3 linked regions of the Rhinolophus ferrumequinum genome follow. The protein of the gene in region 2 purifies or fractionates together with the protein of the main gene of each other region. This does not show direct contact. Links are inferred from orthologs where the notes say so. Each region holds a gene or a part of one and is shown on either strand. Other genes may lie near its edges. The genes, in order: NCBP3, SRSF3 and LARP1.

The links.
Region 1: the proteins of SRSF3 (region 2) and NCBP3 purify together in Homo sapiens (co-immunoprecipitation; 3 studies listed by BioGRID and IntAct, with this or other methods). This does not show direct contact. The link is inferred for Rhinolophus ferrumequinum from reciprocal best matches to the Homo sapiens genes SRSF3 and NCBP3.
Region 3: the proteins of SRSF3 (region 2) and LARP1 purify together in Homo sapiens (co-immunoprecipitation; 3 studies listed by BioGRID and IntAct, with this or other methods). This does not show direct contact. The link is inferred for Rhinolophus ferrumequinum from reciprocal best matches to the Homo sapiens genes SRSF3 and LARP1.

The regions. Positions count from the first base shown.
Region 1 is NC_046304.1:14,690,478-14,701,196, reverse strand, and holds the start of NCBP3 (nuclear cap-binding protein subunit 3), read right to left. Parts: upstream 4,988-10,719; 5' UTR 4,931-4,987; coding exon 4,748-4,930; intron 2,830-4,747; coding exon 2,764-2,829; intron 1,208-2,763; coding exon 1,102-1,207; intron 1-1,101. UniProt on the Homo sapiens protein: Associates with NCBP1/CBP80 to form an alternative cap-binding complex (CBC) which plays a key role in mRNA export. NCBP3 serves as adapter protein linking the capped RNAs (m7GpppG-capped RNA) to NCBP1/CBP80.
Region 2 is NC_046286.1:6,459,570-6,469,524, reverse strand, and holds the start of SRSF3 (serine/arginine-rich splicing factor 3), read right to left. Parts: upstream 4,594-9,955; 5' UTR 4,466-4,593; intron 2,710-4,465; 5' UTR 2,708-2,709; coding exon 2,502-2,707; intron 1,250-2,501; coding exon 1,115-1,249; intron 1-1,114. UniProt on the Homo sapiens protein: Splicing factor, which binds the consensus motif 5'-C[ACU][AU]C[ACU][AC]C-3' within pre-mRNA and promotes specific exons inclusion during alternative splicing.
Region 3 is NC_046307.1:25,613,723-25,624,418, reverse strand, and holds the start of LARP1 (la-related protein 1), read right to left. Parts: upstream 4,672-10,696; 5' UTR 4,235-4,671; coding exon 3,796-4,234; intron 1-3,795. UniProt on the Homo sapiens protein: RNA-binding protein that regulates the translation of specific target mRNA species downstream of the mTORC1 complex, in function of growth signals and nutrient availability.

The sequences.
Region 1 (10,719 bases), on a different chromosome or scaffold from region 2:
CAGAGTTGAGCTCTGCATCTAAGCTACTCCATCCCCTGGGATGGACTGAGCAGGTTGGGTCTGCGCTATCATATCACATATTATAAGGTAATACAGCAAAGTAGTTAAGAGCAAGGCTTTAGGGTCAGATAAACCCAGGTCTAAACCCTGACTACTTTTACTAGCTTTATGTACCTATGGGCATTCATGAAACTTCTCTGAGCCTATTTCTACTTCTTTGTAAAAGAGGAATAAAAAATATATCCCTCATTGTGAGAAAGAAATGAATATGCAACATGCTAATTAAAACAGTGCCTGGTAAGAGAGCACGTTCCCAATAAATAGAGACTATTTTTTCAGTCATTCAACATGCAAGCCTAGAGAAACTCACACAGATGAGTACAGACCTTTAACATACATTCAGGTCTGCCTATTAATTAAGCCCTTCACAAATACCCAAGTTTGTAAATACAACAGAGGGAGACCTTTTGTATTCGTGGATTTATATTAAAGTGGAATAATAAATTAGGCAATGAACTCACTAAAAAAGTAATAACTTTCCCTTTTATTTATAAATTGTTTCAGAAGACTGGGGCATATTACTCTCTATAATTCATGGTGAGTTCTAGGAAGCAAAATACCCTAACAAAACACAAAAATTAAATAAAATCACAAGCCTGTATCAACAGAAGTATTGATGACTTTCCCTCACCAATCTCAATATTGTTCTGATTCCCCTAAAAGAAGGTCTCACGGCGATACACGTCCACTGCGTTTAAAGGGAAAGAAAAGTTAAGCCTTCTGTGATAAAAGCAGAAAATGAGTAAAAGTCTATAGAAGCATAGGTTCTAATCTCAGCTCTGCCACTCACTGGGTGACTTGCTTTGGGCCTCCTCTGATAAGACAATCTCTTTTTTTTCAGCTGTAACATCTGAGACACAGTTAACAGCAGCTCGACTTTAAACAGGTCACCTCAGAAATGGAGACTTCACAAGTTCTCTTCCTTTGGGAGTATCTGGATGAGACCTGGACATGCAAGGCAAGGCCAGAAGCACAAGGCCAAGCAGGGAAAAGTTATTCTTTGGGGAAATGAGGGAAAAATTCCCCTGAAACGCCCCGTACCTTTCTTCATCATGTCTCGGTCCAAGGCTACATTTCTTTGGGCAAGATTTACTTCTGATCGAAAATGGAAGCGCTTGGCTCGCTGCTCTTTCTTTTCAATTGCTTCCTAGACGGTACAGAAAAAGCCATGTTTCAATGGACGAGGAAAGTTAAATCACACACACAATCACAAACACAACATAATGCATCAGTGACAACTGTAAAATAAATCAGGAGAAATAAGCAACAATGTACCTTTAATAATTTTTTCAAGAGAACTGGATATTCAAAGTCAATTACTAGGAAGGCATACACTAACGCTGCTATAATTTGCAATAATCTTCATGATGATTCTATGCCTATCATGGTGTCTGGAGAAGCGTAGGAATTCAGTGAATATTTGTTGATTCAATGAGTAATAAATGCTTTAGTTCTCTGACATTTCATTTATTATTAGCAATCAGTCTTTGAACAAATTACAACCAAACAATCTCAACTTCCCAATTTTCCAGGTGCAGAAACTGAGGCACAAAATAGTTAAAAGGTTTGCGGGAGGTACTTCAGCTAGTAAGGGGGGGCAGATCTTCTGATCTCAGTGCTATTTCTAGGAGCCCTACCACCACGCCCACTTCACACTGTCTGCATGGTAATCACACCTATCGCATTCTTCCACATTATGTATGCCTGAGCAGTCCACTCCCTAAGGCTTTTTCCTGGTTTAAAAATAACATTGAGGCAAAGAAACTCTGTCTTCTATTCTAGGCTTGTGTCTATGGAATTGCCAGTTTGCATCCTTAAGTGACAAGAAGCATTGACGCTTCACTGAAAAACAAAATAATCAGCTTCATAAGTTTTTTCAAGAGCTAAAATAAATCAGGTCCGACTGTGGGTTTCGGATAGCTCTTAGGAACCCTTCACTGTGTATTAACTTTGCCACACTAATTGAAGGTCTGACTATAGAAAGCTTGTGGGGATTGGTAAAGCAGCAACACTTCTGTTACTTCCCAATAGTTATGCTAATTTTCTTCACTTACATCTTGCCAGTGCAAACAATCTACCTTCCTTTAGCCATAATTTAAGTATCAGTTCTGGGATTACTACCCTTTCCCCCATATATCTGTTTCACATAATGGCAAACTGTAGGATTAAGAACAGTGCAGTCCACTTCTTTTTCAATTACAACAGGAAAACATCTTCACTTTATTTTCTTGTCTAAAAGGTCAGTTTTTTCTTTTGGCCTTTAAGCCATCTGACAGACTGAGACCCAGATAAAACATAGGCATGACATATTTATTTTTATTTTTGCTTTTATACAGCCAATATAGCAATATAATGCTATTATTCATGTTTTGTTTCATTTAAAGTGGAAACAGTATATGCACTTTTAAAGAAGGGACATAGCATAAAAAAAGCATTCCCAGTGCAGAACTTTCTCTTGGATGTGGTTACGCAGTCACCCTGGTATTGTGATTTTCATCTTGTCGTGAATATGAGAACAAAATATTGCCCAGATGTTTCCAGAATGCACAAAGGCATCATTGTATAATATGAAATTTAAGTTAAAAATGTTTAATTCTGCAGCAAAACAAAATAGGAGGTAAAGAATAACTGCAGTTCCACAAGTCCTAGGGACGAAGTTCACCCGCTTCTCAAAATGAATAAATAAATCCTGGTCTGTCTTACCTTGGAGGTGACATCGATTCCGGTGATGAAGCTGCCAGCCTTATTTTCATATCTTCTGCTTGTGTCCTAACACGAGGGGGAAATGTATGAAATGCTTACAGCTATTGAGGAAAATCTCATAATAAAAGACAGCTGATGCCTTTTGAATAGTCATTCGCTTCAGCAATCCTTCCCCTACCCTCACAACCCTTATTATGAGGAAACAACATCCCAGGGACTCCCTGGTAGCCATCAACCACCTTAATGAGAAGTCTTTTCTAGATCAGAGCCTGTGCAACACCTGAAGTAATTCCATCTATTGAAAGTACCTGTGTAAGTGAAAATCTAAAGGCTTTCGTGAAAAACGTCCACTTCTCCCTCCAACCCAGACAGATCAAAGGCACCAGGCCAGGCCACCAGGTGGAGCACAAGCCCTCACCAAAATGCAGAAAGCCCCGACTCACCCAGACCTCCAAGGGAAAACAGCACAGTGCAGTGAAGAGGGTGGGATTTGGAAGCTCAGGACTCAAGTCGCAGTTCACAGATTACACAACACTGTGCAATTTCCTTTGGCCTCTCTGGGCCTAGGTATCCACCCTCGTATCTAGGCCTTCCTGACCTCTTTCACTTATGCTGCAGAACTTTCCATTTCTCCAACAAAACAATCTTGTTCCCATCTCAGTCTCTGCACTTACTGTTGCCCTTGCTGGGAACACTCTCTTCCAAGTCTGCACATGGTTGGCTCCTTTTTGTCGTTTAGGGTTTGGCTTAAATGTCACTATCTCCGACGACTTCCCTGATCATCCTATCCCATTCTGCTGCCCATTTTGCACCCCGCCCCCCGCCCTCTGCACTTTTGTTCCCATTAACATGTTTTATTCTCTTCATAGCATTTACCACTATCAGAAATTGTTACTTGTGTCCTCCAACTGGAACATAAACTCCAGGAGGGAGTTTGATCTTGATCAAGTGCCTAGGATTGTGCCAGGCACCTGTAGTGAGGGATGCAATAGACACACGTTAAACTGAACGAATAAAGGGATGATGTCGACTTCACAACCTGGGTAATATTTAAATGATACAATGTAGTTAATGGTAAAATGCCACTTTGTTCATCCTTGCTACCAGAATCACTATCATTTGCTATCTTTAGTGATTCCCACCTTCACCTCTCCCCATAATTTCAATTTAAAAGCATGTCTTGCTGACGTGGTAAAAAGTAGTTTGTGTTGGGTGAGAAATTAAGTACTTGAGAAGAGCCATGCAGGTCTGAGACCAGCCATAAGAACCGGACACTGGACCACCAAACCACAAGCAAAACACCTCTCAGTATCTCCATTGTGATTAAAAAAACAGACCAAGGACCACTGCTGTTCGCTGATGTTCTGGGTTCATTAAGGGTCAGATGCTGGGGCCACGGTGTAGGTGCTACATAGCAGTGGGGCTGCATGGGGGACAAGACGGCCCTCAAGCCACAACAGAAACACTGAGTTCCTGCTGCTGACAAGTCCCACCCTTCCAAGAGAAACCCGCGAGTGCTAGGTTTTACAGACACCAGCTCCACCGGAGCACGACCCACAAGGAGGGCTGGATGCTGGCGCCACAGTTCTTTCTGGGCCACTTTTGGTCCTGTTCCCGCCTGGGGTTCCCCCTTTATCTCAAGCCCCTAGACAATCCCAGCCCCTCCTCAATCACCCCCTTGCACAGACTAGCTCAGAGGGGCAGCGAAAGGGACGTCCTTAAGTACCCTCCAGCTCTACCCCACCTCCTCCAGCCCCCTCAACACCCATTTCCGGGCGCCCCAGCGTCCTTTCTCTCGCTCCGGGTCTCGCCTCCAGCCTGGAGCCCCCTTCCCCCACCCCCCGCGCTCGCCCCCCTCGCTCCCCTTCCCCTGACTTTTCCCCCAGCCCGGGCGCCGGCCGCCTCCCTTTCCGGCCCGCTTCGGCGCGGGGCACTCGCTCTCTTAGCGACCTCCTCCTCCTCGCCCACCGTCCCCCGCCCGTACCGGGATCAGTTCCTTCAGCGAGCGCCGCACCGGCACGATCTCCAGTTCGCCCTCCTCCACCTCCATGGGCTCCGGCTCGCCACGCTCCAAACCGGAGTCCGCCTCAGGCGATGGGAGCCCCAAGGCCGGCCCCGCTGGGGCCTCCGCCTTCACCGACACTCGCAGGCCCCGTACGGCCGCCATCGCCGCCCGCCGGCCGCACCACTGAGAGCCCGCCCCGCACACCCGCTGGCTAGAGCGCCGCCGCCACTGGCTACAGAGCAGCCGCCGCCGCTACCTAGAGCGTCGCCAGCTTCAGTTAGAATGCCCCTCCCCCTTTAGCGCTGCCGCCCCCTGGTGGCAGGAGGAACCCGGGCAGGCTGGAGCGGGACCTGGAGATGAGGAGGCGGGACCGAATGGAGATGGGGACGGGCCTGTTGGAGGGGGCAGGGCCTGGAGGAGATCGGTATTTTCTGGGCTTAGAACTAACAGTTACGCCTAGAGCAGTAAGCCTGTAATGAAAGCTAACTTTACTAAGAGGTCATTACGTGCCAGTGACTGTTACAAGCGCTTGAATCCCTACAACAACCCTATGAAGTAGTAGGTAGTGTTAGTCCCCATTTCACATATAAGGAAACTGAGGCATAAAAATTTACTTAAGGTGACAGACTATTTAAGAGACAAAAACCTGGATCTGAGCCTAGACAATCTAATCTGGCTCCAGAGCCCAGAATGAGCTTTGGTCTGTCACCTCTAGGTATTCTGTAGGTTTACAATGTATTTGCCTTACTAACAACGTTAGTCTTTTTCAGGTGTCCCAATAATTGACCCAGTTTACATACACAAAAATTGAGACTCCGAGAGGGTAGTGAGCTGCCCAAAGGCCAGAGCTTAACCCTCAATTTCCTGACTCCAGAGGGCTTAGTCCACTGTAAGGTTCTGAACATGGTTTCTTGCAGACATTTCAACAAGAGCTTGGTTGGGAGAGGGGGAGTGTCCTATAAGCTTCCAGAGGGCAGTTTTTGCTTTGAGTCCAGATTTTGCACCTTCCTCCCCGTGTTAACTTGAGCTAGTTCTGGTCCCTTTCTGGGCCTGTCTTCCCATCTCAGGAGGGCATGGGTGGGACCCTGGGGTCCCTGAGGACCTGCCAGCTATGATCATGGAGGAACAAATAATTATAAACCAAGAGAGAGCATGATCAGCATCAAAACTGGCTGGTTCCGCTCCTTACACCATGTGTGACCTTGGGCAAGCCACTTACCACTTCAGAATCTCAGCTGCTTCAGCAGTAATATGGGACATTCCTCACCCCCAAAGGAGGTGTGAGGGTTCAATGAGATAATTACATGTAGATACAGGATCAAATAGAAGGGACACAGTGCATCAGTTCTTCTTAAATGTGGGCTAAATCACAGGACAAAAAAGATGGAGCTCTTGAGAGGGCTAGTTTTGACAAAAGGGACACTAGTTACAAAATGGGGTTGCATGCATGGAATGCATTTGTGTGAATTTTTAAGAACATTTCAGAGAAAGTTTGTGCTTGGGGTGGCTAGCTTTGGGCGACAGTGACAAACCCCACCATTACACGTGTTTTCTAGGCCTGAGGGGTTGGGGAATGAGGAGAGGAGGAATCCCTTCTCAGCTATGGACACCCGGAAAAGCAGAAAAGGCTGGGCAGGCCTCTCACCCTGCAGGGTGGGAGGAGCCTTGTGGCTTGAGGACTCAGGCACTGCGTTCAGGGAGAACCAGCTCCTGTGGCAGAGCTCTAGCTGGCAGGAGAATTAGAAATCCAGAGCAAGTCAGGGCATCAGGCTAACCCCAGGGTTCCTAGACTTCCGTCAGGAAAGCCCTTCATGTCTTTGTCTCTTTTTAGTCACCTGACTCACCACCCGCCCCCCTTTCCTGTCCTCGGTGCAGCCTGCTGAAGTGGGGCCATGGAAACAGAAGTGGTCAAAAATAATTCTTGAACAAGTTGAGAGCTGTCCCGGTGGCTCAGGTGGTTGGAGCTCCATTCCCCTAACGCCGAAGATTTGATTCCCGCTTGGGCCAGTGGGCTCTCAACTACAAGGACGCCGGTTCAACTCGTTGACTCCTGCAAGGGATGGTGGGCTGTGCCCCCTGCAACTAACAAAGGCAACTGGACCTGGAGCTGAACTGCGCCCTCCACAACTACGATTGAAAAGACAACAACTTGACTTGGAAAAAATCCTGGAAGTACGCACTGTTCCCCAATAAAGTCCTGTTCCCTTCCCCAATAAAATCTTAAAAAAAAAGAAAAGTTGAAAAACATGACTCCCCAATATGAAATGAACACATGTCAAAGCTTTTATTCATTCATTAGGGGATGAAGACATCGAAAAGATATTAACACTGGTTCAAAAAAGAATTTGGGAATGAATACAGAGTTGGTCAGTCAAAAGAACACAGAAATTAATGTAACAACACAATTTAATGTCCTACAAGGCAAAAAAACTGTAACCTTTGGGGTTTCCTTTTCTACCAGATAGAAAACATTTGCATCGCTATTGGACAAGAATTGTTTGCTCATTATGAATTTTCTATAAATTAACTTCTACCCTTACAGAGCTGTAAAATGCCCTAATAGATAGTAAATCGGAAGGTACACAAAGGTACACATCCCTAGAGAATCAATAACCCCTGGGCAAAATAGGTACACCTGGCACTACATTGAAAGAATATCAGTGTAGTTCTTTTTCCTGTTCTTTTTTCCTATTTCCAAAGTCTGGATGATTTTTTATTAACAGAAGAAACCAGGAGAGTGGGACACTGGGACAGACTGAAAGAAGAGTTTCACCCAGGAAGTGATCAGGTATCAAGGGCAGCCATAAGTTCACAGTGAAACTTGGCTTGGGTCTAGAGGTTTGCTGGCCATCGGTGACCTTGATGAGACGATGTCCATGAAGAGGACGGTAGATTAGAAGTGGAATTTGCGGAAGTGTGGACAACTCTTTTGAGAAGTTTGTGAAGGTGGAGGCTAAGGGACAAAGAGGATATTAAGGGTCTTCTGAAAGATTCCTCTTTCTTAAAATTTTGACTGAAATTGGCCACTCCTTCTCTCTTCCAGGGAAGAGGGGAATGAATAATGGGATCCTACCTCTCCTGGGATAAAAAAGGGAAAAGCCATTAAAAGGTAATATGAGCTCCTATCAAATGCTACTTGAGAACTGGTAACATGGTCCACGGGCCTGAGGTGATGCCCTGCTGATTCAGAGTTGTTCTTTGATGCGGTTTTAAATTGGACACCCACAACCCACACCCCCATTTCACGTCCTTGGAATATGTGCAGGTTGGTAATTAAGGAAAAGCTTCTACAGTGAAAGAAAAGGTCTTGAGGCAGCTGACCGTGATGCAGAAGATATATGTATCTACCGCGTCTGACAAGTTCGTGGGCTTGTTGCAACAATGTTGCTAACTTATTTTTGGTATCAGAAAGATTATTCATCATGAATTTGTACCAACTGGACAAACAGATAACCAAGGTTATTACTATTTGGGCGCTGAACGGGCTGTGTGAAAAAGTTAGACGACCTGAAATTTTCCCCAACAATTCATGGCTCTTGCATGTAAGGGAGTTTTTAGCCAGTCACCAAATAACTGTATTGGAACACTCTCCCTACCCACCTGATCCAGGCCTCAATGACTTCTTTCTTTACCAGAAGAAATATTGAAAGGAAGACATTTGGATGACATTCAGGACATCAAGGGTAATATGACGACAGCTCTGATGGCCATTCCAGAAAAAGAGTTTCAAAATTGCTTTGAAGGGTGGACTAGGCTCTGGCGTCGGTGCACAGCTTCCCAAGGGGAGTGCTTCAAAGGTGACCGTAGTGATATTCAGGAATGAGGTAGGCAGCACTTTTTCTAGAGTGAGTTCACAAACTTAATTGTCAGACCCCGTATGCTCCCCAACCCCAACACAGCTAAATTCTTGAAAGGATTGTGTTCCCTCACTTTCTCCACCTGACTGGACCACTCAGCATCATGGACACTGATAGCCGCTCCCCAGGTCTTGAAACCACACACAATCTTCTATTGTATGATCACATTTGGTTTTCTTTTCACTTCCCAGGCTACGCCTGCTCCAGTGCCTTTTAGGGTTCTTCCTCCTTCCCGCAGCATTAACAATCTCCCAGGGCTCGATCCTGGGCCCTCTTTCTTCTCACCCCGTGCTCACTCCCTGGGCCATCTCATCACACCCATGGCTTCCTATTCCACGGCCATCCACAGCCTGAGGACTCCATATCTGCATCTCCAGTTTTGCCCTCTCCTCTGAGCTCCAGACCCATATGTTCAACTACTTATTGGACATCTTCCCTTGAATGTCTCAAGGCACCTCAAACTCAACTTGACTAAGAGTCAGAATCCTCCTTCCAAGCCGGGTCCGTTCCTGTGTTCCCTACCTCCCTGATCAGCACTGTAGTGAATCCAGGTGTACAAGCGTGGAAGCCAGAAGCCACCCTTCACACCTTCCTCTCCCACCCCCATAGCCACGGCCACACAGTCTTGTCAGTCTGACCTCCCACATATCCCTCGTGCCCATCTGCTTCTGTCCCTCCTTTCAGCTCTCATCCCTCAGCTTCTCTCCATCCCAGCCACCAACATATCACCTCTGCAATGTCTGGACATTGCAGTGGCCTCCTCACTGGTTTCTCTGTTTTTCTGGTTCCTCCACTCCTATCCCTCCTCTTTTCAGCACATTATCCAGCCCTTCCTCCTCTCCAGCTGCAGGCACTACTCTCCTCCTTACTCCCAACATCACTACTTCAGTTCTTGGAAAGCAAATTGTCCCTCCTCCCACAGGGCCCTTGCACAAGCTAGTCTCGCTGCTTCGAGATTTCTTTCCTCCCCCTTGGCCTCGCTAGCTCTTTCTCGTTGCAGGAGGCGCAGCCCACCATCCCTTGTGGGAACTGAACCAGCAACCTTGTGGTTGAGAGCCCCACTGGCCCATGTGGGAATTGAACCGGCAGCCTTCGGAGTTAGAAGCATGGAGCTCCAACTGCCTGAGCCACCGGGCCGGCCTCCAATAATGAAAGTTTTAAACATCTAGGACGCTGAAAGGATTATATACTGTATGATTCCAACTGTACTCAGATCTCAGCTGGGGCTTCCCTTCCTCGGGGAAACCTCCCCAACCACAACCAGAGACTCACCACTGCGAGCCTTTCCTATAGAGTGCCCATATCCATTCAAAATCACCCACACATGTGCCTGGCAACTTGATTAATGTCTGTGTCCTGCGATGGACTGAGAGCCATGAGAGTAGGAACGGTGTTGATTTAGCTTAGTGTTTAACTCAGTGCCTGGTGATAAAAAGCTCTGGACAAATATTGAAAGGATGGATGGATGGACGGATGGACATATCAGAAGGAAATGAAACCTTTTCCTGAATTAGATTTAGAAACATGAAGCACCAGACATACACCCTCCCTTACCAAATTCTAGACCAGAGCTATTCATGTCAATCCTCGATGTTCATTAAAATCGTCTAGGGAAGGGCACATACTTGTGACTAGTAGATAAATAAATCCTGGAGATCTAATACACAGTACAGTGATTACAGACAACAAAACTGTATTTTAAACATTAAACATGCTAAGAGACTAGATCTTAATTGTTCCTACCACTAGAAGAAATGATAATTGTATGATGAGACAGAAGTGTTGGGTGTTAGCTAATGCTACAATGGCAATCATATTGTATCAAATGTATCAAATCAATATGTTGTACACATTAAATTTATACAATGTTATATGTCAATTATATTTCAATTTTTAAAATAATGAAAGTTGTTGTTTTTTTATTAGGGAAGGGGAACAGGACTTTATTGGGGAACAGTATGTACTTCCAGGACTTTTTTCCAAGTCAAGTTGTTGTCCTTTCAATCTTAGTTGTGGAGGGTGCCGTTCAGCTTCAAGTTGTCCTTTCAGTCTTAATTATGGAAGGCGCAGCTCAGCTCCAGGTCCAGTTGCCGT
Region 2 (9,955 bases):
TGCTGCTGTAGTTGTTGTGAAGACATTTGGTAAATAAACAGCTGAGCTGATTGGCCAGGAATGTGTGGGCGGTCGAGGTGGCTGCTGCCGATTTGGTTAAGGTTGGAGAGAAGGCTGAGAGAAAACAGCATGCTCGGGAACCAAAGGGCGGTGCAACCTGACGACTGGCCATGCCTGGGTCATGTGAAACGACACCAGCCAAGCTGAATGGGGCGCGCTGGTCACATGACGCTGAAAGGGCTAGTTGACTGGCTAATGCAGACTCAGAGGGTGGTGAGAAGAGACATGATGGTGACTCTGTAACGGGGTTCATTTTTATTAATAGATGGACCAAAAAGCACAAAAAAAAATGAAAAACAAGCCATCAGTACAACCATCTATTAGCTAACAAATACGCTTTATTATGATGGGCAACAGTGTGTTTTGTTTTTCAAAATAGCAAAAGGGGCAAGATTTTGAACTCCTATCTCCTAGGACTTCACTCACCTGTAAGAGGTAAATTCAGTCCTATAGAAACTATTTTGGAGGTTGGAGATGTGGAGTTATAATCCAAATACTGCCTGGTCCAAGAATGATGCCATTTTCAATTATAAAAAAACTGAATTCTCTCCTATTTGGGTTTGAAGAACAGATGACTGGGATTACTTTTTAGCCCCCTTTATTGGTCAGTGACTTTAGTTTCAGAATGATTTCTATTTTACCAGTTGTAACATTAAAACAGCTGCCTGTTTGATAAATATTACAATCGTGCTAATAGTAGAAAACACATTTTTGTGAAGAGCTAGAGTTGAATGTAATGTTTGTCATTATGGAGTCAAGAAATGGAAAAAGGCCTAAATTGAAGTACAAGGGAAGACTTGGAAAGATGCAACTAGAAGATGAACTAGAAGATAGATCCAAGATAGAAGTTACTGACTACCAACATGAACCTAAAGACAAAAGCCAACACTCAGCACAACTCACATACCCCAAACTACACCCAGCAAATGTTTCATAAAAACTTCCGATTCTTCACAGTAAGTTTAAAACCCACCAACAAAGTTTAAGAGAAATACCTGCTCCTATTAGCTACTCCATTACACCAATACCTCTAAGCACGCTCTCTCTCAAGTACCTGCGGCGAGGTGGAGGACTCCTTCTCCGATAATCGTCTCGAGGGCGACGACCCCACGAGGGAGGTGGACCACGATTTCGACTTCTCTTTTCACCATTCGACAGTTCCACTCTTACTCGGCAGCCACATAATGTTCTAGAAGGTAAGAAACATTGCATTTAAAGCCACACTTTCTAAGAGACATGTGTTAAAGCAAAAACTATTCCTAGTTAGTGTCTTAGCAAAAACACATCCGAATGCCTGTAGAATCCTTAATACCGAAACAAGTTTTTGTTCCCATATTTTTTTCTCTTAAAGAAAACCAATTTCCTTACTGTTAAGAGTCAGTCTCATCAGTGGACTCTGTTAATTTAACAGTTGCAATTAAAGTGTGAAAACCCCTGAATTCATCCTCAAAGAACTAGTTCATCTGTACATCCTGTTGTGACTTCTTCCTTGGAGATCTCAGCACTTGTTTAACTGATCTGACTACACTGTATTTGTTGGTCTCCCCCCCACCACATCCATGTAAACAGAGCGATAAACAGGACAGAAACATTTTGGTCATTTTACATTACATCACCCCTTCCCCTCAATCACCATCCTGATAGTTGACCAAGAAAGTGCAGCTGAGAATAGTAGAAAAAGGCAACTATTCCTCACTCACTTCTTCATTGGCCCATAATCATTAAGTTTAGATAAGCCACCATATTTGGACAATGGGAAAAGGTGGGGGTCTGGAAATGTTTTTGCAATCTTCTTGAATACACAACCTTTTATACAGCTTTACAGCCAACCCTCAGACCATTTAATTTTGGGATTTTAAGGATTAACAATTTTCCTTGGTTTCATGAAAACCAATGGTTTGCAAAACCAAACAGATGGTGGAAGGATTCACTATTAAGACTCAGGCATTACTTATCAGCCAACTACCTTAATAGGGCACTAATTACAAAAGGAAATGCCAAACAATCCATACTTCCTAAAGGAAGCATTTCAAACACAAAAGATAATGGTTTAATAATGGTCCCCATGTTAACCATCATCCAGCTACATACAGCAAGCATCCTCTTAAAGAGGATATTTAATTCCACAATTGTTTTAGAAACAATTCAAAGATGACAACACAACTGACAATGAACAATTTAGATTAAAATGTTGCAACCATATATTAGATGTAGCTGAATCCACCAAGAACTGACCATTAAACTTTTCTTCAAAGGCCAGTCAACTTCCTACTAAACTCTACTAAAACTATTGAGCCCTATTTTTGATTGCAAAATAGTTTTATGTAAATCTCTAGCCATCAATTTGATAACCAGGAAGTCATCCAAAACCAAATATTCCCAGGGATTTTAAAAATTAGAAACACATATTCACCATTAGTATAAATCAATCATTAAATTACCTCCCATCTAGCTCTCGGACAGCATCGGCTGCATCTCGGGGATCTTCAAATTCAACAAAAGCAAAGCCGGGAGGGTTTCTAGCAACCCACACACTTCGGAGTGGTCCATAATAGCCAAAAGCTCGTTCCAGTTCAGTCTTGTTACCGTTGTTTCCAAGATTACCTACATAAACCTTACAATCCAATGGACAGGAATCACGATGCATTTCTGTAAAACAAACAAAAAAACTCAAAATATTTTAATTTACCCAAATAATCTACAGTGAAAAAAAAATTCTTAAGAATGCCAAAATATAAATACAAATAAAAAAAGTAAAACTACCACTCTTGAAACACCCATTTCTCTCTGATCGTTACAGATAACTGTCAGGAAGCCAGCACAAATTGCTTAAGAATGCCTCCTTAAAAAGAGAGGGAAAAATAAACACTGGAGAAACATTTACTAAAATCTGGGCACTGAGTTAGGGACTTTACCTGTTATTTCATCTTGAACAAAAGCACTTAGAAAAGTAGGATAACCTCAGATGCAAATCCTTTGGAAGCTCAAAAACCAAATCAAACAATGCAGAGAACAGTAGTTAAGGCTAAACCATTAGAAAAGTCTTACTAATTTGCCTTATAAGCCAAAACTTTAACCAGCTTCATTCCTAACCAGCAAGGGTGTTATGTATTTTTTTTTACGTTATCTCATAGCAGCACTATTCTTAACAGCCAGAGGTATTAACCCAAATGTCCACCAATGGGTAAATAAGCAAATGTATTATCCATACAATGAATTATTCAGTTAAGTACTAATAAATGCTACAAACACGGACGAATCTCAAAAACATGCTAAATTATAGAAGCCAGACACCAAAGTGCACCTATTACGATTCCATGTATATGAAATGTTCAAAACAGGTAAATCCAGAAACAGATTAATGGTTACCAAAGCTGGGCAGGAGGCACTGGGGAAAAGGGAGTGGTTGCTTAATTGATACAGGTCGAGTCCTCAGGAGAGGTAATAAAATGTTTTGGAACTAACGATGTGATAGTTCCACATTATGAATGTACTGTCGCTGAATTACACACTTTAAAATGAATCTTGTGTTAATATCACCTCAAGGGGAAAAAATTAGGTGTTTCTTATGCAGGAATTTACTGAAATTTTGGGGCTTGTATTTGATAAACCTTCACCTCCAAGTCGCCTCAGCAATGGTTCTAGTCACCTTGTAGGCCGGTTTCAATTGCATCAAAGAGCACCCTACTCAATAACTCACTTCAAGGGCTTTTCATGAACAAACACCACACATTCTTTTTACTCTGGACTTATCCAGTTAAAAAAACCAGTCCAGACACATGCTATCTGCGTGACCCCACCCTGTGCCCAGGAGTTGAGACCAAACCACTGGAGACTTTAAAAAAACAAAACAAGAAAACCTTTGCCGTGACCAGTTTCAGGCCTACAGATTAATGGGAAGTAGCTACAAGAACAACACTGCTCACGGAAAATCGGTTTAAAAAAATGGGTCCAGGCTGTAAAATATGAAGTCAAATTAAAATAAAATGAAAACAAAGGTGAGTACAAAAACCATTTAATACGGACCGAAAAGTCCAATCTTGATTAGTGCCTTGAGAAAAAAAAAATCCTAGGATCTTAAGAAAACGTGGAGGGAAAAAAAAAGGCGCCATAAATTCAAAGGCCGCGCGGCCTGGAGTACAAAACGGTTACCGGCTCCCCCTTTGTTTCAACTCTTGGGTAATCCCACGTCCCAGTTTACCCCAATTGAGGATTATAAACACCACTTCAGGGCCGGGGTACGGCCTCGGGGGTCCTGGAGCCCCCGCCACCGCCCCGTGCAGAACGTCACAAAATGGCGGCGGCGTCTCTTTGTCTCAATCTGGCGCCGCCATTGGGCCTGGCCCTACCTCGGTACTGTTAAGTTCCATTTGCCTCTTCACTACTTTGGACGCTGGTCTCTTACCGAAATCTTGGGTTAGAAATACGGAGGCTCAAATCCACACACCCACGGACGGCTCTTCCGTTCCCCTCCGCCCAGCTTCACAAGCACTCTCACAGACCCGGCGTCCACGAAATGGCGGACCACCGCTGTCTCCTTGCCTTTATTTATACGGCATGATGAGTCACGTGATTGGACTGGCTCGCCCAATGAGAGGCCGAAGAGGCCGTGACGTGAAGGCTACAAACTCAGCGAGAACCGCGGTTGCTGGGAGCGTGCTCTGGCCACGCCGTCGGGTCGGTGGTCTGGTGCATATGCCTGCGCTCCAGCCGCCTCAAACGTGGAGCTTCTTCAGGTGTTCCCCCGTTGCCGATCTCCAAGTTATTTTCAATCCCCTCTCCCTCGTCTCCAAATCGACTGGCGTTATTAACACTACTGCGGTCACTCCCAAACACTGATAGAGCCATTTGCTCCTAATAAGATTTAGATATTAGATGAATTCATTACTTGATCCTAGCCAGCGGTTGGGCTGCAGCTAAGACCATCGCGTTTACAAACGTGCCTCAGAGTTGCTCCAACGGTCACTGGGCTGTTTGTGACCCAGCTGCCATCAGATTGTGCCCGCCCAGGTCCTACATTTATGGAAAAGCCCGATCCTGAAAAGTCAGCCCGACTCTGGCTGGTTTTCCGCCTCTCACCCCAACTGCAAGGTTTGGCAGAGACGGGTGGTGTCATCAGCCTGAACTCTTAAAATGTTTAATAGAAATTCAAAGGCAAATGAGACCGTTCAGGCCGTCTGGAAACTATCACCTTTACCGAATAACAATAAAAGGAAGTTCCTAAAGAAGACTGAATTTAAATTCTGGGCCCCAGAACAAATGCCAGGAAGGGCACGTGTGGTTTTTCTCCTGGAAAAGGCTGTTGTGTTGATCTGGTGTAGGGTTGGGGGTCCGTGAGCCACTCACACCTTCCTCTGTTTTCCACTCCGCCTAGGAAGACAGAGCCGCAAGAATTATTAACTGTTGGGAGAGAAATACTGCAGTTGTGTTAGTAAAATCACCATGACCTTCCTATTCGGAAGAGGGAGTTCAGCTACGGTAGGAAGTGTGTCTGGTGTCCTCAAACTTTCTCCTGTACCCCCTTGCAGTGGACTTTGACTTACATATTGCTAAAATTTATTTAAATCTGCTCTCAAGGAAAAAGGAAAAACAACAATAACCTGTATCTACTGTCATTAGCTTCAAGATATGACAATTATTTACTTAAGTCTTAGATCTCCCAGATATTTTCCTTTGAAGCCTTATCTCCCATTGTGGTTCTAAGAGATTTTTCCATTGTGGGGGAAAAAATACGAAGATTTAATCACCAGGAGCCTTAATTTTCTCACCTATAAAATGGGAATTACAGGGGAGGAGGGGGAATGGGAACTAAAGTTGTTGAGCCAGGCCCTGCACCAGCCTTACCTGCGGTGTTTCCCAGGTGAAGGGGGATTCTAGCAAACCCTCTCTTTCACATCTTACTTTTTTTTCCTTCTCTAAATGCTTTTCTGTTCTGGCTCATTTATATTTGCCTTGACTTGCTCCTCTCCTCTTTTCTCCTCTTTTTAAGTTTTTCTTCTGCCAAAGCAAAGGCTGTGGAGTCAGACAGTCCTGGATTTGGACCACAGCCTCACTGCTACTTACAGCTAAAGTATCTTAAAAAGAATCCCTTAACCTGTTCAGGGTTAATTTTTCTCTCTGTGAAATGGGCTGGTACCTTGCAGGGTTGTTATGTAGGTGCTGTCTCTACCCATAAAACTTCAGCGTTTGTCTATTGTGGTCCTTCCTGTGTTCCCAGGGCCTGGAAACAAGTCTGGCACACAGCAGGGTATCAATACATATTTGTTTACTTAATTAAGTAATTAAAAGAAATATATATGCAAATCACCTGGCACAATTTCTTCTCCAAAAATGCTGACTCTTTTTAAATGTTCTTTTCACATCTCCGTATCCCATTCTTTCCTACAAATTTTCCTGAGTTTTTCGTTTGTGTGTGTAATGCTAATCGAGCTTGCATCTTTTAATGGAGCACTCTTAATCCCTCCGACTGTATTCATGAATACAGTTTGAACCTCCTCTGTCCATCCACACACACTTTCTATCTTCTGGTAACCACAGCCAAATGAATTATCTATCCATTTAAATTGAGGAATATCTTACTGTTCCTTTAAATTTATTCAACCACCAACCATTCTTGTCTAGATCCTAGAACCACGTGAAGCTTCAAGAGAACCTATCAGAATTTCTTGGTAGGGACAGAGAATGGGGATCATATGTTGCAGTGAACATCTCTTGATTTTCTTTGGGAAACTACCTTTCTCACAGTAAACCATGTTACTGATTCAGGTCTGGTTGGGCCCTACAACCCACTTTTTCAGGGGTAGGGACAAGATCACCCCTGGTTAATTAAGTCATTCCAGTGCTTAGCCCCACTCCCACCCTAATTAGAATGGATGAGTAATCCAAGAATAGTCAGCAGTTAATTCCAGCACTACTGCTAGGCCAACCAAAGAGAGGTTATGCTCATTTCCTCTGACCAGTGGGGTCCTGAGCCAGGGCAGCCATCCTGTTTCCAGAAGGGAAGAAGCAGGCTCGGGTGGACCCAACCTAAGGGAGGGGAGCTGAGAGATGGGGAATAAGGAGCCCTGGACCTCTTGTTGAAGAACCCAGTTCCATTTTCAGAATTCCCAGTTATTTGAACATACATGTTCCCTACCTCCTCCCCCAACTTGCCTAAGCCACTTTGACTTGATTTTTTTCCTGTCACTTGTACACAGAAAAGATTCCAAATATAGAAATTACTCTGACACAGACTTCTCACTTCCTCAAGTTGAGAACCATGGCACCAAGTTATCTTGCAATTCTAAAAAAATTCACCTGTTACCAATTCACTAAGTACTTTTCCTTTTTTAATGTAAGAAAAAAAAAAGTTACTGATGGCTAGGCATGAATATCTATGTAGAAGAATTAATACTTTAAATATTATGGTTGACTTCAAGTATCCATGAAGGAAAATCTAATAAGAGTATAGACCTTAACAATATTTCATTAATTACTTGGTTTAGTCAATGTCATGGCAGGAAGCACATAGCACACTCAACAAAGAGTTACTGAAGAGGTAATTATGTACAGAGGTATGGGCAGGGTGAGGAAACCCGCAAGGGAAGGAGGGACTCCCTGAGGCAGCTCTTAGGCCCAATGGGGCAAGGAAGGGAGCAGGGTTACCAGAACCAGCTAAGTACTGTAGCTACAAAAAAGAGGTCACTGTGACCCTAGGTAAAGGCACTGCAACAGCCCAGTTGTGGTTTGTTGGTTTTTTGGGTTTTTTGTGTGCGTTTTTTGGAGGTGGGGATGTCAGAGGTGGAAAAACTGAACTACTCTCTCTTCCCATAGTTCCATCTTTTCATGGTGCCTCCTATATAGCACAAAGTCACCTGGAAACCTGAGGGCGCGAGAGCTGGGTGATGCAAGCCTAGAAGTCAGCCTCCCAGGGCACAGAGCAGAGCAAACTGGAGAACTAATCTAAGTCTATGCAGTTTAATAGCAGCATCTAGGCACATGTGGCTATTTGAGTCTGAACAGAGATGTGCTGTAAATGTAACATACATGCTGGATTTCAAATAGTATTTAAAAAGAAAGACGTAAATATCTCATTATTAATGTTGATATTGATTACATGTGGAAATGATAACATTTGTAATGTATTGAGGTAGAAAGTATAGTATTAAAATTAACTTCATCTATTGCTTTATACTTTTTTAACTGTGTGGCTCACATTATATTTCTACTGGGCAATGTTGATCTACCAGGACAAATGTAAACTAACCACACACAATTACAACACATAATCATTCAAAAACTCATTTTAAACATATGGTTTCACTTATATGTATAACCTGAAAAAACAAAGAAAACAAAATAAAAACAGACTTTAGAAACAGAGGCCAAAGGGATGGTTACCAGAAGGGAGGGTGTGGGGAGGATGGGTGAAAAAGATGAAGAGGAATATAGTTAATAATATTGTGGTAAGTTTGCACAGTGACAGATATTGTGGACGGAAAAGGGCCACATGTTAAATCTGACAAGCTCAGGAGACTGAAAATAACCACATAGGATGGCTTGAACATAAAAATTCCTAAGGTGGCCTTGGCGGGAAGTCATATCCTTGGCCTGTAGCTTCCTTGACAAAGGTCAATCTTACCTTAAGTGAGCCTATCTGTTGTCCTTTTCCCATCTAAGATAACATACACTTGGAATATCAGAGTAATCCCTTTTTCTGGATCCCTCAGGGGGCACAACCCACCACACCAGAACAGGAAACTACAATATCGCTTATTGTTATCTAATTACCCAAGTAACATCTCTTTGTGCTGTAAAATGGTATTAACTATACTGTACCCACCAATGTAAAAGAAGTGTGTGTCTCTCTATTTTGCTTTATATCCAATCCCAGAGATTTCTCCGCTTTGCTTTCTCCCACCCCCTTAATCTACAACGGATGGATTTCATGCAACTCTCCTCCTTTGATTCTAATGTATAAAATACGTTGCAAAATGGCCATTTTTCTGGAGCATTTTCTCAATCCGTTGAGACTTTGCTTCCCAGCAATTGTCGTCAATTTGGCTCAAATAAACTCTTACAAGTTTCCCTTAGGCAGGATGTTTCTTCGTTGACAGATGATTACTAGAATTAGTGGGGTGATCACATTGTAAGGTATAAAAATATTGAATCACTATATTGTACACCTGAAACTAATATAACTAATACAATATTGTATACCAACTATACTTAAATAAAACTTAAAAAATCAGGGAGAACTTTTTTACTATAATAAAATAAATTCTCAAAAAAAATCAAATAAATAAAAAACTCATTTTAGTTTCATATCCTGAACAACTATGTGAAAATAGTGCTTTCTGCAAATTACATAGTTTTAAGCTTTTTTAAATAACTAATTGCTTTGATGTTTTGAGATATCACCCTTCTATGTATTTTTATATGATTCCCTGAAATAGTTTTTTGGGTCATATTACATAGTTAACAACCATTCATTCATTCAAGAAGTATTTATTAGGTACTTTCTATTTTCCAAACACTGAGATGGATTTAGAGGAAAAAGTAGTAAGCCAAAACAGAGCCTCAGGTTGCCAGAGTGGGTCTAAATTCCAATATAGAGGAACATTAGAGAAAAAAACTACACAAGTAGTAGTGAAATTATTTATGTGGAAAATGGTCTGGAGAAGGAAGTGGTGCCTTAAGAACATACCTTAGGAGAGATTGGCCTGATTAAGTAGACCAAAGAAGGCTTCCCGGAGGAAGTGAATGAGCAAAAGCAGAGATATCAGGCAAAGCTTGTGAGAGGAGAGAATGTTTCCTGGAAGAGGGTACAGAATGTGTAAAGTTCCTGTAATAAGTTAGAAGAATTTTTTAAAATAATAAATAAAGAAGCCAGTGTTGCTGAGCACAAAGGTGAGGG
Region 3 (10,696 bases), on a different chromosome or scaffold from region 2:
AGATGCCCAGAACATAAATACTCAAGTCTCAGACCCTGCCCTCAACTTTCCTTTAAAAAGAAATCTGCTCCCTTGCAAGAGTTTTTGTCCTTGCTAAGCTTCTCCACACTTGGACTCAGCAGTCTCATAACTTTTCACCCTACATAAAACCTTTCAGTTCCAATTAATAAAGACTCAAAAGCCAAAAAAAAAAGAAAAAAAAATCAAGGAGAAGACTACTGGACTGGTTGGTTGGTTTTCTTACTATACAGAAGTTAATTTCTACACAATCAACCCACTGATTCCCCCTGCTGGGGTGGGTGGAAGCTTGTGGTGATGATACACTTTCAAGTCTCAACCCACTGCAAGTGGGCGAGCCACAGCAAACTTTTAGTTCAGTTAAACTAGCCTTTCCCCACAGCCCTGAAAGCACCTGTGCACTGTCCCCAAAGGTAATCTTAATGAAAGGCACATAAACTAATTAAAACTTATTTTTAAAACATTCATCATACCACATTCCAAAGCAAAAATAGCCAATTCTTTGGGTTACCAACCGTTAGGATTATCCATAACATGCCTTTTATGCCTGTGGATAAGCAAAAGTCCATTTTTCTGGAGATGATCCCATATGTTTCATGGAGTATTGATACACCACCAACAATACCAGAAAAGGAAAGGAGCACTGCATTCCCCAACCCCCTCAAATGACAGGTGGGGAAAACAAAGACCCAGAAAAAGTTCCGGAAAGTCCCAGTCTGTCTCCCAGACTTGGTATAACAGCTACCACATGCCCGGCACTGGGCTAAAGCTTTACACATTATCACAATAAATGCTCACAACAGCCTCAAGAGGCAGATAAATCATAATTTAATCTCCAGTATACAAATGGGGAAGCTGAGGCACAGAAGGGTTAAGGAACTTGCCGGAGGAGGCACAGTCAGCAAGTGTTAAGAGCTGGCATTTGAACCCATGCAGTTTTGACCCCAGAACTTCTGCTATATATACATCATTTTTTTTTTAACGAAAACATCTTGTGCCTCTCCCATTACACTTAGAGTTGTGGCTAGGATAAGGAAAAAATTTTAAATGTTTTCAAAATATTCTAGGGGAGGCAAATACAACAAGCCAAAACGCAAATCCCAAGATTTGAAACTACAAAGGTAAGACGTGGAAGCTTAAACCAGAATAGAGAACCCTACAAGGGTGGATTATCGAAAAACATCTTTTATTACTAGTTACTGCGTGTGGCCCTTACAGAACTAAAACACTAGCATCTGAGCCAAAAGGAAGGGCTAAAAATAGGCATTTGCAACAAGCTTTGGAAAGGTTTTAGCTTGCTTATGAGGCACTCATTTTTGTAGACTCCCAAAAACATATGCATTACAGAACACAAAAATTCCCAAGACCACATTGCCACTCCATTGGTGTCACATTTAAACTTGTCCAAGCTGCAAATAAAACCAGGGCTAGAAAAGGGCCTTAGCTATCCATGTAGACTCCAAAGACAGGACCCCCATAGAACCCTACCAGACAGACAAGTCGATCACAGAATTTTCCCTCAAAAAGCATCCAAGCCCTAACTACAGGCTTAAAAAGAGAAGCTACTGGACTAATTCAGTTAGTCTGTCCAAGACTATTCCAAAGGTTCAACACCAATGAATAGAGAAGACGCTTTCTTGCCTTAAGATCCCAGAAAAACAACAGAGCAAACCTACCAGACTCAGAATTTTGCTTTGGGCACTTAATGCAAGTTGGCTTCTCCACTGGAAGAAAAGGTGAGATGCCAGCCAAGCTGTCTTCTTCCCGCGACCAATAACCCCAGTGACGCACCCTATCAAGGGTCCCTGGATTTGCACAAAATGCCAGCTCAGGCACCCAATACCACCTGATGTCATGATTGATTTAAAACCCACAGGCAGGCTCACCATTGGCTAAGCAGCAGCAGCCAGGGTGAGTAGCCCCATTTAAACTTCTGAGGAGTGCTCTCTCCTGGGGATGATTATACCCCTTTGAGTTTTAAGATGGGGGAAGGACCAAAGAGTGTCTTAAAGTTGCTTTCCCTCCTTCAGTGGGTGGATCAAGAGGGATATGCAAGAAAATGGAGGTTTCAGCAATGCCCTTTGCATAAGAGGGCTCTGGAAGGGAAAGGGGGGAAGGGCAGAAGGAAGAGAACACGGTTTGAGGTACTATTAGTAAACCCCAAGTGTCTCCTCCTCCAAATGAAGCAACCTTAAAAGAAATAAAAATTGCAACACGCCATTTTCAGAATTGGCTGTTCTGGTTTTCCTACGACTACGAATGATTCTACTCCCTTGAATGTGAAGGTATTAAGCACCCCCCTGCAACTTTCCCCATTTCGATGGTTTAAACCAGTCAGCTTCAACCAGCGACTGCAGAAGGGGAGGAGTTTTGAAAAAAGCATTAGGGCTATGGCCACAAGCCATCCTTCTAGCTTCAAACGGGTTTTGGTATTGGTCCACTTCAAAAGGACCCCAAACCGAAGAATCCAGAACCACTCTGCCCTTACGCGCCGGCAAACCGAGGAGAGAGGGCGCGCCCCCAACCCAAGGCGACCGTCTATTCTCCGCAAAGGGAGGCCCAGACGAGCCTCCATATTCTTCACCGCCTCTCTCCCCACGCTGACACGGCTCCGCTAGGACTTCCTGCACCCCCACCTCCCCAAAAGACCAGGCCCAAAAAGACCAAAAAAAACCAAAAACAAAAACAAAAACAAAAAAAAAAAAAAACGAGGGAGAAGGCGTGGAGAGCGCGGCTCTGCGGTCACATGCCGCTCCCCGCGCGGGGAGGCACCACGTTGTCCCGGCTGCGGAGGAATGCCGGGAAGGGGGGCCGCGCACTCACACTCGCGCACACGCACACTCCCGGCCGCGCCGCCAGCCCGCACCCGCCTTCTACCCCCAGCGCCGCGGCGGGCGCGGAATGTACAGGCCGAGCGGCCGCGAGCAGTCCGCCGGCGCGGCGCATGGCGCCCAACTGTCACCCGCCCGCCCAGCCCGGCCACTCCCTCCCCCGCCGCCACACGCCCCTCGTGCCGCCGCAAGCCCCCTCGCTAGCTTCATATTTTCCGCCAACCCCTTAACTGGGTCCCCCGCACACTCGCCATCCGGCTCCCTCTCAAGGCGGAAGATCCCCGGGATCGGGGAGGGAAAGCACCGAATTCAATGACACGTTGGGTTTCCTCTTCTCCCCATTCTCTTCGTAACCGACCCCTCAACGCGTCGTCAATGGCGATTCTACCGCCTAATATCATACACTTGAGAACAAAACTTATTAACTTCTAAATGTCGAACCCGTGGAGTTGATATGAACTCATCGCTGGGCGCTTTGCTGCCCATGACATATGCTCATTAAACATTTACAACATGGGGACGATCGCAACGCTACCAAAACGAGGAGCGTGGGGCGGGGTGGGAAGAGGGGGCTTCCCGAAGGTTTAGGCCAGGAACCGTCTCTCACACCAACACGCGGTGGGAGAGAGGATTCTTTTCACCGATTCCAGCGCCCACCCGCTCCCGGCGAGGTAGGCCCGGACCACGCCGTTGCCCACTAACCGCTGCGGCCCAGGCGGTGGCCATGGCCTCCTGGAGGCCGGACACTCGGGCAGGGACAGGTTCCCGAGTGTGTCGGTGGGGAGGGCACAGCGACCCGAATTAGCCAGGAAGCAATTAAAAAAAAAAAAATCCCGAGTCACCACCACCAGCGGCGGACCCCAGGCCCTGGAGGCCGCTGGGGGAGGGGACGCCTATGTCCCCGGAAAAGGCCCCCGGACCCTGCATAGCAAACAGGAAGACCCACCTGGAGGGGACTGTCCGTTCACGGTGGCCAGGACCGGCGGCAGAGCGTTCTTAGTCCACGGGTTCACCTTGGGCGGAGGGGCCTCCACGAAGTCTCGGCGCCCGGCGCCCGCGGCTCCGGCCGCTCCTCCACCAGCGCCCGGCTCGCCGCCGCCGCCCTCCTCCCCGTCACTGAAGGCCAGGCCCTCGGCGCCGGGTGGCTGCGGGGGCCGCGGGCTCTCGCGCTCCAGTTGCCCGGTACCCTCCTTGTGTGGCTTGGCGCAGGGCGGCCGAGGTCTCCGGGCGCCGCCGTCCGACTCCCCCCCTCCGACGTCGTTCGCCCCGGGCTCGCCCTTGCCTTCGGGCGGCGGCGGCAGCTTCTTCCTTACCAGCCCCCCATGCTCTTCGGCCTGCAAGAGCGGGGCGCCCCCCGGCAGCAGCGGCTCCACCTGAGTGGCCATCTGCGCGCCCGCCCCCCCGGAGAAGCCGGGCGCGCCCGAGGCGGCCTCCCCCGCCTCGAACTTGGCTCTCAGAGCGCCCGCGACGCCTTCCTCCGGAGAGCTGGGCCCCAGTCCCTGCGGAGAAGGGTCGGGGTTCACGCTAGGCGCGGTCCCACTCCCGGTTGGATGCAGCCGCCTTAGATCCCAGGCCGCTGGCGGGGCGGGGGGGGGTGGAAGGCCCCCCACTCTGCGGTCCAGGCCTCCTTGGCGCGCGTCCCCCCCCGCCCGTTCCTCGCAAGGCACCCCCACCCCGAGCCTGGCAGGCTTCTCGTCCCGTACCTCCCTCCCCCCCGCCGCCGGGGCGGCCCGGGCTTCCCGGCTCGGGGGCTGCAGCAATATGGACGGACGGGGGAGAGGCGCGGCGAGCCGAGCCGACCACGCGATCCGCGGCAGGCGGCGGGCGGGCGCGCGCCTCACGACGCGGCGAGCGAGGGGAGGGGCAGAGAAGCGGGGGCGCGCCCGCTCAGGCCGACCCTTGGCGACAGGCGGGCGGGAGGCGGCGGGAGCGCGCGCGCACGGCCTCGCGGCCCCGCCCACCGCCCCGCCCCTAGCCTCCGATTCCTCAGTGCACCTCCCAGGCTAGGGGGCGAGGGGGTGCTCAGACCGGACGGGGGCGAGCACGTGCCTGATGCAATTCGGGAGCGGGGGGGCAATGAAGGAGGCAGGAGAGATGTGGGGTGGGGGGGGGGTAAAAAAGGGGAGGTGTCTTAAAGGACCAGCGCTAAAGAGCGGCCGCAGGTGGAGCACATGGGAGCGGGCCACGCGGCCGGCACGGCCTGCTCACGCTCTTTAGGTTGGATGTGCCAGGTTCGGGAGAAGGAACCATTAATGTCACCTTCGTCTTACAAGATGATGGACGGGGGTGCCCATCCACCCCGAAGTAGCGCGGAGGCCGCCGGTTCCCTGGTGCCCTGCGGGCCTGGCCCCCCCAAGCGCCGTCCGGGTGACCTTGGGCTAGCTGCCCTCACCTCTGCTGACTGTGCTCGGCTCCTCCCCGCCGGCCTCGGGAATACTGCCTGGAGAAGGGTTCGATGCCCGGCCGGGAAGTCGGGCCCTTAACCCTTGGGGGCAGTGGGCGCCTAGGAAGTGGGAACCGAATTACCAACAGATCCCAAACCGGCCAAGCCCCAGAAACTGGGCATTTATGGGCAGGAAATGTCTTTTATTTCAAGTGGATTTCATTTTTTCTAAAGAATTGGCTTTGGTCGGAGTTGAACCAACGCCCAATTGAGACTCTTGAGGTCTGAGATTTTATCCTGACCCTGGCGTTGCCCCTTATCAACTCTGCAGCAGTCATTTCCTCAGTGGGCCTCAGTTTCCCTATTGTAAAGCGAAAGAGTGGTGTATAACAGTGGTTTCAAAATTTAGTGCACAATTCAATAAATATTTACTGACCTCGTACTGTGGGGGCCTTTGGGTTCTAGGAAACGGGGTTTGGCAATAAACCAGGCAAAGTCCCTATGCTCATGAAATTTACATTCTAAGGTAGAGAGACAAAATTAAGTGATTAACAAGTCCTTGTCTAGTATCTATGAAGACAATAATGACTACAGTAATAGGTTAGATCAGCTACTTTAGTTTGGACGATGAAAACATTGAATGCATATTCCAAAGCGTTTGGAATCAAGTCTGTCTGGGATTAGACCCAGAGATCTGCATGTCTAACAAGACTTCCCTTGGGTACTTACCCACCAGGTGATCCCACATTTTACTTGGAGAAGTCCGGGTTTCTGGCGGTGATCCCACCTGCTCAAGATATAACAGCCCAGAAATCTGGCCATCTCCAAGACAATGATTAGAAACCACAACCTGCTGGATAGAGAAGGCTTATTGAAAAGCCTCTTGGAGCTGCCCCATAGGGCAAGGCTAGTTGTAGGGTTGTTGTAATCAGGACAATTGGAGAGAGATGATGGCAATATGATGTCTAAGCCCAACTCTTCCGGAACTTGGACACTGTACTGTGTGGCCAACTCTCCACACTTCCCTGGGCCTTCTTTGCTGGTGGAAAAATGGGGGTAAATTATGCCTGACTTGCTTCTACCTTCTGAGCTATTGTGAGGAGTCAAGTGAGATAATGTGCGAGTCAAAGAGCTGTGTAAATTATAAAAACCGAGGCCAGTGCTTCAAAAGAGGTACCAAGGAAGATAATAAAGGGATCTCAATGAATTTAAGCAGAATTTTCCATAATTGCTTTGTATATAACTTTAATCAGATGATAAATTATTGCACATTGCCACTGGAATGCATTCTTTTTTTTTGTATTTATTGATAAATAGTTCCTGAAGTCTCCACACTAGGCTCTCTCTAAACTTTGTTAATAGGAAACATAATAGTCATTTGTTGATCATTCTTTTCTATATTCCTGTAATGGAGGCAGAAGGAAAAGTGCCCCTATACAACTTATGACGGCATCAGGGCTCTGTGTGTTCAAGTAACCAATTTACACCACTCAGCAGTCAGTCTGAGCTGAACAAGTGCTGCCAGGCCCTGCTGTATGGAGGCAGGAGGGGCACTGGCATTTGCACACCCAGGGAGGGGCTCGGCTCCTAAACACCTGTGTGCGCTGGGCAAACTGGGGCCAGAGAAGATAAGAAACCCAGCAAACTGGGGCCAAAGAAGATAAGAGACAGGTGTGAGACTACATCTTACAATGAGCTGTTAAAGCAAGAAAAAAAGAATCTTGATGATTACTTAATCTCCTTGTTTTGCAGATGAGGACACTGAAATTCAGAGAAGAAAAGTTATTTATCAGATGTCACACAGCTAATCCATGGCAGAGCCAGGTCCGTCACCTGAGTCTCCTCATCCTAAATCCAATAGTTTTTTCTACATGAAATGATGGAATTGGGATTTGAAATCCAAGGTTTTTTTTATTCCTAACCCACCATGGCATTCTATTTGCATGGGTTCAGTTCTAAACACTAATAATGACCAAATAGTTAAAAGTAGCTTTTATTGTGTAGCTACTGTATGCTAGATTCTGAGAAATACTTGACATTCATTATCCCATTTAATCCTCACAACAACCCAATGAGATAGGTATTAATTCTTCCCACGAATATTTATTGAGTTCCTACTATGTGCCAGGCACTAGGCTAGGCCCTAAGGTATCTTCAACTCCAAACAATTACAAAGTTCAAAAAGAAATGTAAGGTGGGTGCCTGGGTCCCAGGCAGCAGCTAAATATCAGAGTGGGCTTTTTCAGGGCAGCCTAATCCCACAGGACCTGTTCTTACCCACCACACCACACAGTAAGGCCTGTCTCTCTTCCCTCCATTGCTATCAAATACATAGGCCTGGGGAAGATAACTAAAAATGTTGAGTCCTGTCTCTCCCAAAGGTAAACTTTTTGGGGGGATGGGGGGCAAGTAATTAAGCAATAGGTGACCTCAGGCCGAAAAGAGATAAGACAAGATAGGCTTTAGGCAGAAAGGGACAAGGATCAGACTAACTTGTGCTGTGCCCAAGACCTCCACACGTCATGTACTGAAAACACATGCAGAAACAGTGAGAAAAATCAAACTTAAAAAATAAAAATTATAAAGTGGCTCCAAATACCTCTTTGTAATTAATTATGCGTTTGTTTGTTCCTGGTGCTGACAATGTCCTAAAGAGAGACAGAGGAGGCCACACGAGAGACTAGAGAGCCAGGAGACCTGGTTTATAACCTTGGTCTCATCTCCGACTTTGCTGAATGACTTTGGGCAGCCTCCTTCCTGGGCTTCCATTTCCCCATCCACAAAATGGGAAGCATAATAGCTGCCCATCTGGCTGATGAGTGTGAAAAATGATAGTTTCCACGAAACTTTATTCTGTCTTTTTGGGGGCATAGGTAAAAGCGGAGTGGGGGGAGGGTGATTCCTTGAGTTGTCTGTGCTTATTAGGAAAGAAAATTTAACACACATGGATGCACAGTTTTATTCCTTTTTGAGTTTGATTTTCCAAAGGACCTTGTGATTCTGGGAGGACTTGGGCTGTACCACTTATCTGCTTGTGATATCAGGGGCCTCTTTATACCGACATGGAGGAGTGGGTGGGGTCAGCAAAGGCAGGGACCTTGGCCAAAACAAACAGTGCCAGCTGGGGAGTGTTTTTCCAAACCCTGGAGACTCTTGGGCCTTCTGGCACATGCCAAGAAACTTACTTCAGTTCATGGGAGGAGGCTCAGCCTAGATCTCCTCGTGGGAAGTAGATGTAGACAGCAATAGCTAATGTGTAAGGTGAGGAGTAGGGGAGGGTGCTGACTGCTCCCATAATACCTGGTTAACCTCCAGGGCAACTCTTCTCCGTAAATATGATTATCCCCATTTTACAGATGAGGAAGTAGGCTCAGAGGCCCAAGGGGGTTGGCAAAGGAGCAGGGTGGGTTTGCAGTGAAGAAGGTCTGATAGAGAATTAACTTCTAACACATTCGCTACTCTGAGTTAGAGACAGGCACCATCTCAGCTTCTTTTCCCTCCATTCTACCCTAAGCAGTCACTCTCCCCAGCCTTGCTACCGTCCCTGGCGTTCCTGCACTTCTCAAGTGGTCTCATGACAGACTTCCCACTAACTATTCTCTGGCTGAGCCAGCTCTCTGACTTGGATGGACTTTGATGGTCCTGCCTCTGCTTAAAATACCCCCGTTCACATCCCTCCCTGTCCCTCTGACTTCCAGCCATACACCCTAGACTCCAGCAACAGAGAACCACTCACCGTTTCTTTCACTCGACAAATAATTTGTTAAGGGCCGGCCCGGTGGCTCAGGCGGTTAGAGCTCCATGCTCCTAACTCCGAAGGCTGCCAGTTCGATTCCCACATTGAGCCAGTGGGCTCTCAACCACAAGGTTGCCAGTTCGATTCCTTGAGTCCCACAAGGGATGGTGGGCTGCGCCCCCTGAAACTAAGATTGAACACGGCACCTTGAGCTGAGCTGCCTCCCAGATGGCTCAGTTGGTTGGAGCACGGGCTCTCAACCACAAAGTTGCCGGTTCGACTCCTGCAAGGGATGGTGGGCTGTGCCCCCTGCAACTAGAAACGGCAACTGGACCTGGAGCTGAGCTGCAGCCTCCACAACTAAGATTGAAAGGACAACAACTTGACTTGGAAAAAAAGGCCTGGAAGTACACACTATTCCCCAATAAAGTCCTGTTCCCCTTCCCCAATAAAAAAAAAAATCTTTAAAAAAAAAATAATTTGTTAAGCATCTACAATGTGCCAGATACTGCCCAGGCCCTGAATATGGGGAGCTGAGCAAGACACACATATTCCCCACCTTCAGGAAACTCCCTGTCTAATCCCCTGTGGGCCCCCCATGCTTTCCTGCCTCAATTCATGTTATTTCTCTCACTGTGACAAAGCTGTTCATACACATACACTCATATATACGGGGTGCCAAAAAAATATATACAAGTGGACACTTTGGTCAACGTTGCTCAAGCAGTAGTTGGCCGTACTCAGAAGAGTCTGGACACTGATGGTGACCACTTTGAGTATCTCTTGCAATTGCAGAAGTCAAATGTGGCTTATATTCATCTTTTGTTATCGGTATATATTGAGTATTACAATTTTAATCGTTTTTTTCCTTTCTTAAAATGTGTATACATTTTCTTGGCACCCTCTGTGTATGTGTGAATTCCATTTCATGACTTTCGGCAAAAATTTAACCTCTCTTTAAGCCTCTGTTTCCCCACCTATAAATTGGAGATGATAATACTACTTTCTCTCATAGGGCTTCTGTGAGACTTAAATGAGATAATGTGTGTAATTTAATAGCACAATGCCTGGCACATAGTATGTGCTAAGTAAATATTACGTTTCATTACTTTTATTATTGCCAATAATACCTTTCCATTTCTACTTGTCCAGAATTCTACTTGTCCTTCAAGGCTCAATACAAAATGCCGACTTCTTCACAAAGTCTGATTGAATCTCCACAGGTAGAGTACATTTTTTTCCCATTCTTAACTCCCAGTGGCAATTTCCCTAAAGCATATAATATTTTTTACTTTCTTTCTACCCTCACTTATGGTTACTGAGGAGTATGTCTTATCCTCTATTTAGATTATGTTATGTTTCTTGAAAGCAGGGATTATACACCATTCTTCTTAGTATCCCTTGTAGAAATCATCAGCAGTGCTTTCTATACAGCAGGCCCTCTGTGTCTTTACGGGACAAAGAAATGAAAATGAATGAATGAATGCAGGATCATTTCTGATCATCTGATCACATCAATGTTTTAGTAACGAGAGCAACACTGTCAAAGGTCAAGTGCTAAATCACACACACACACACACACAGAGAGTGGTCCCCCCTTATCCAAGACGGATACGTTAAAAGATACCCAGTGGTACCAGAAACTGTAGATAGTACTGAACCCTATATATGCTATGTTTCTTTCCTATACTCACACATATCTATAATAAAGTTTAATTTATAAATTAG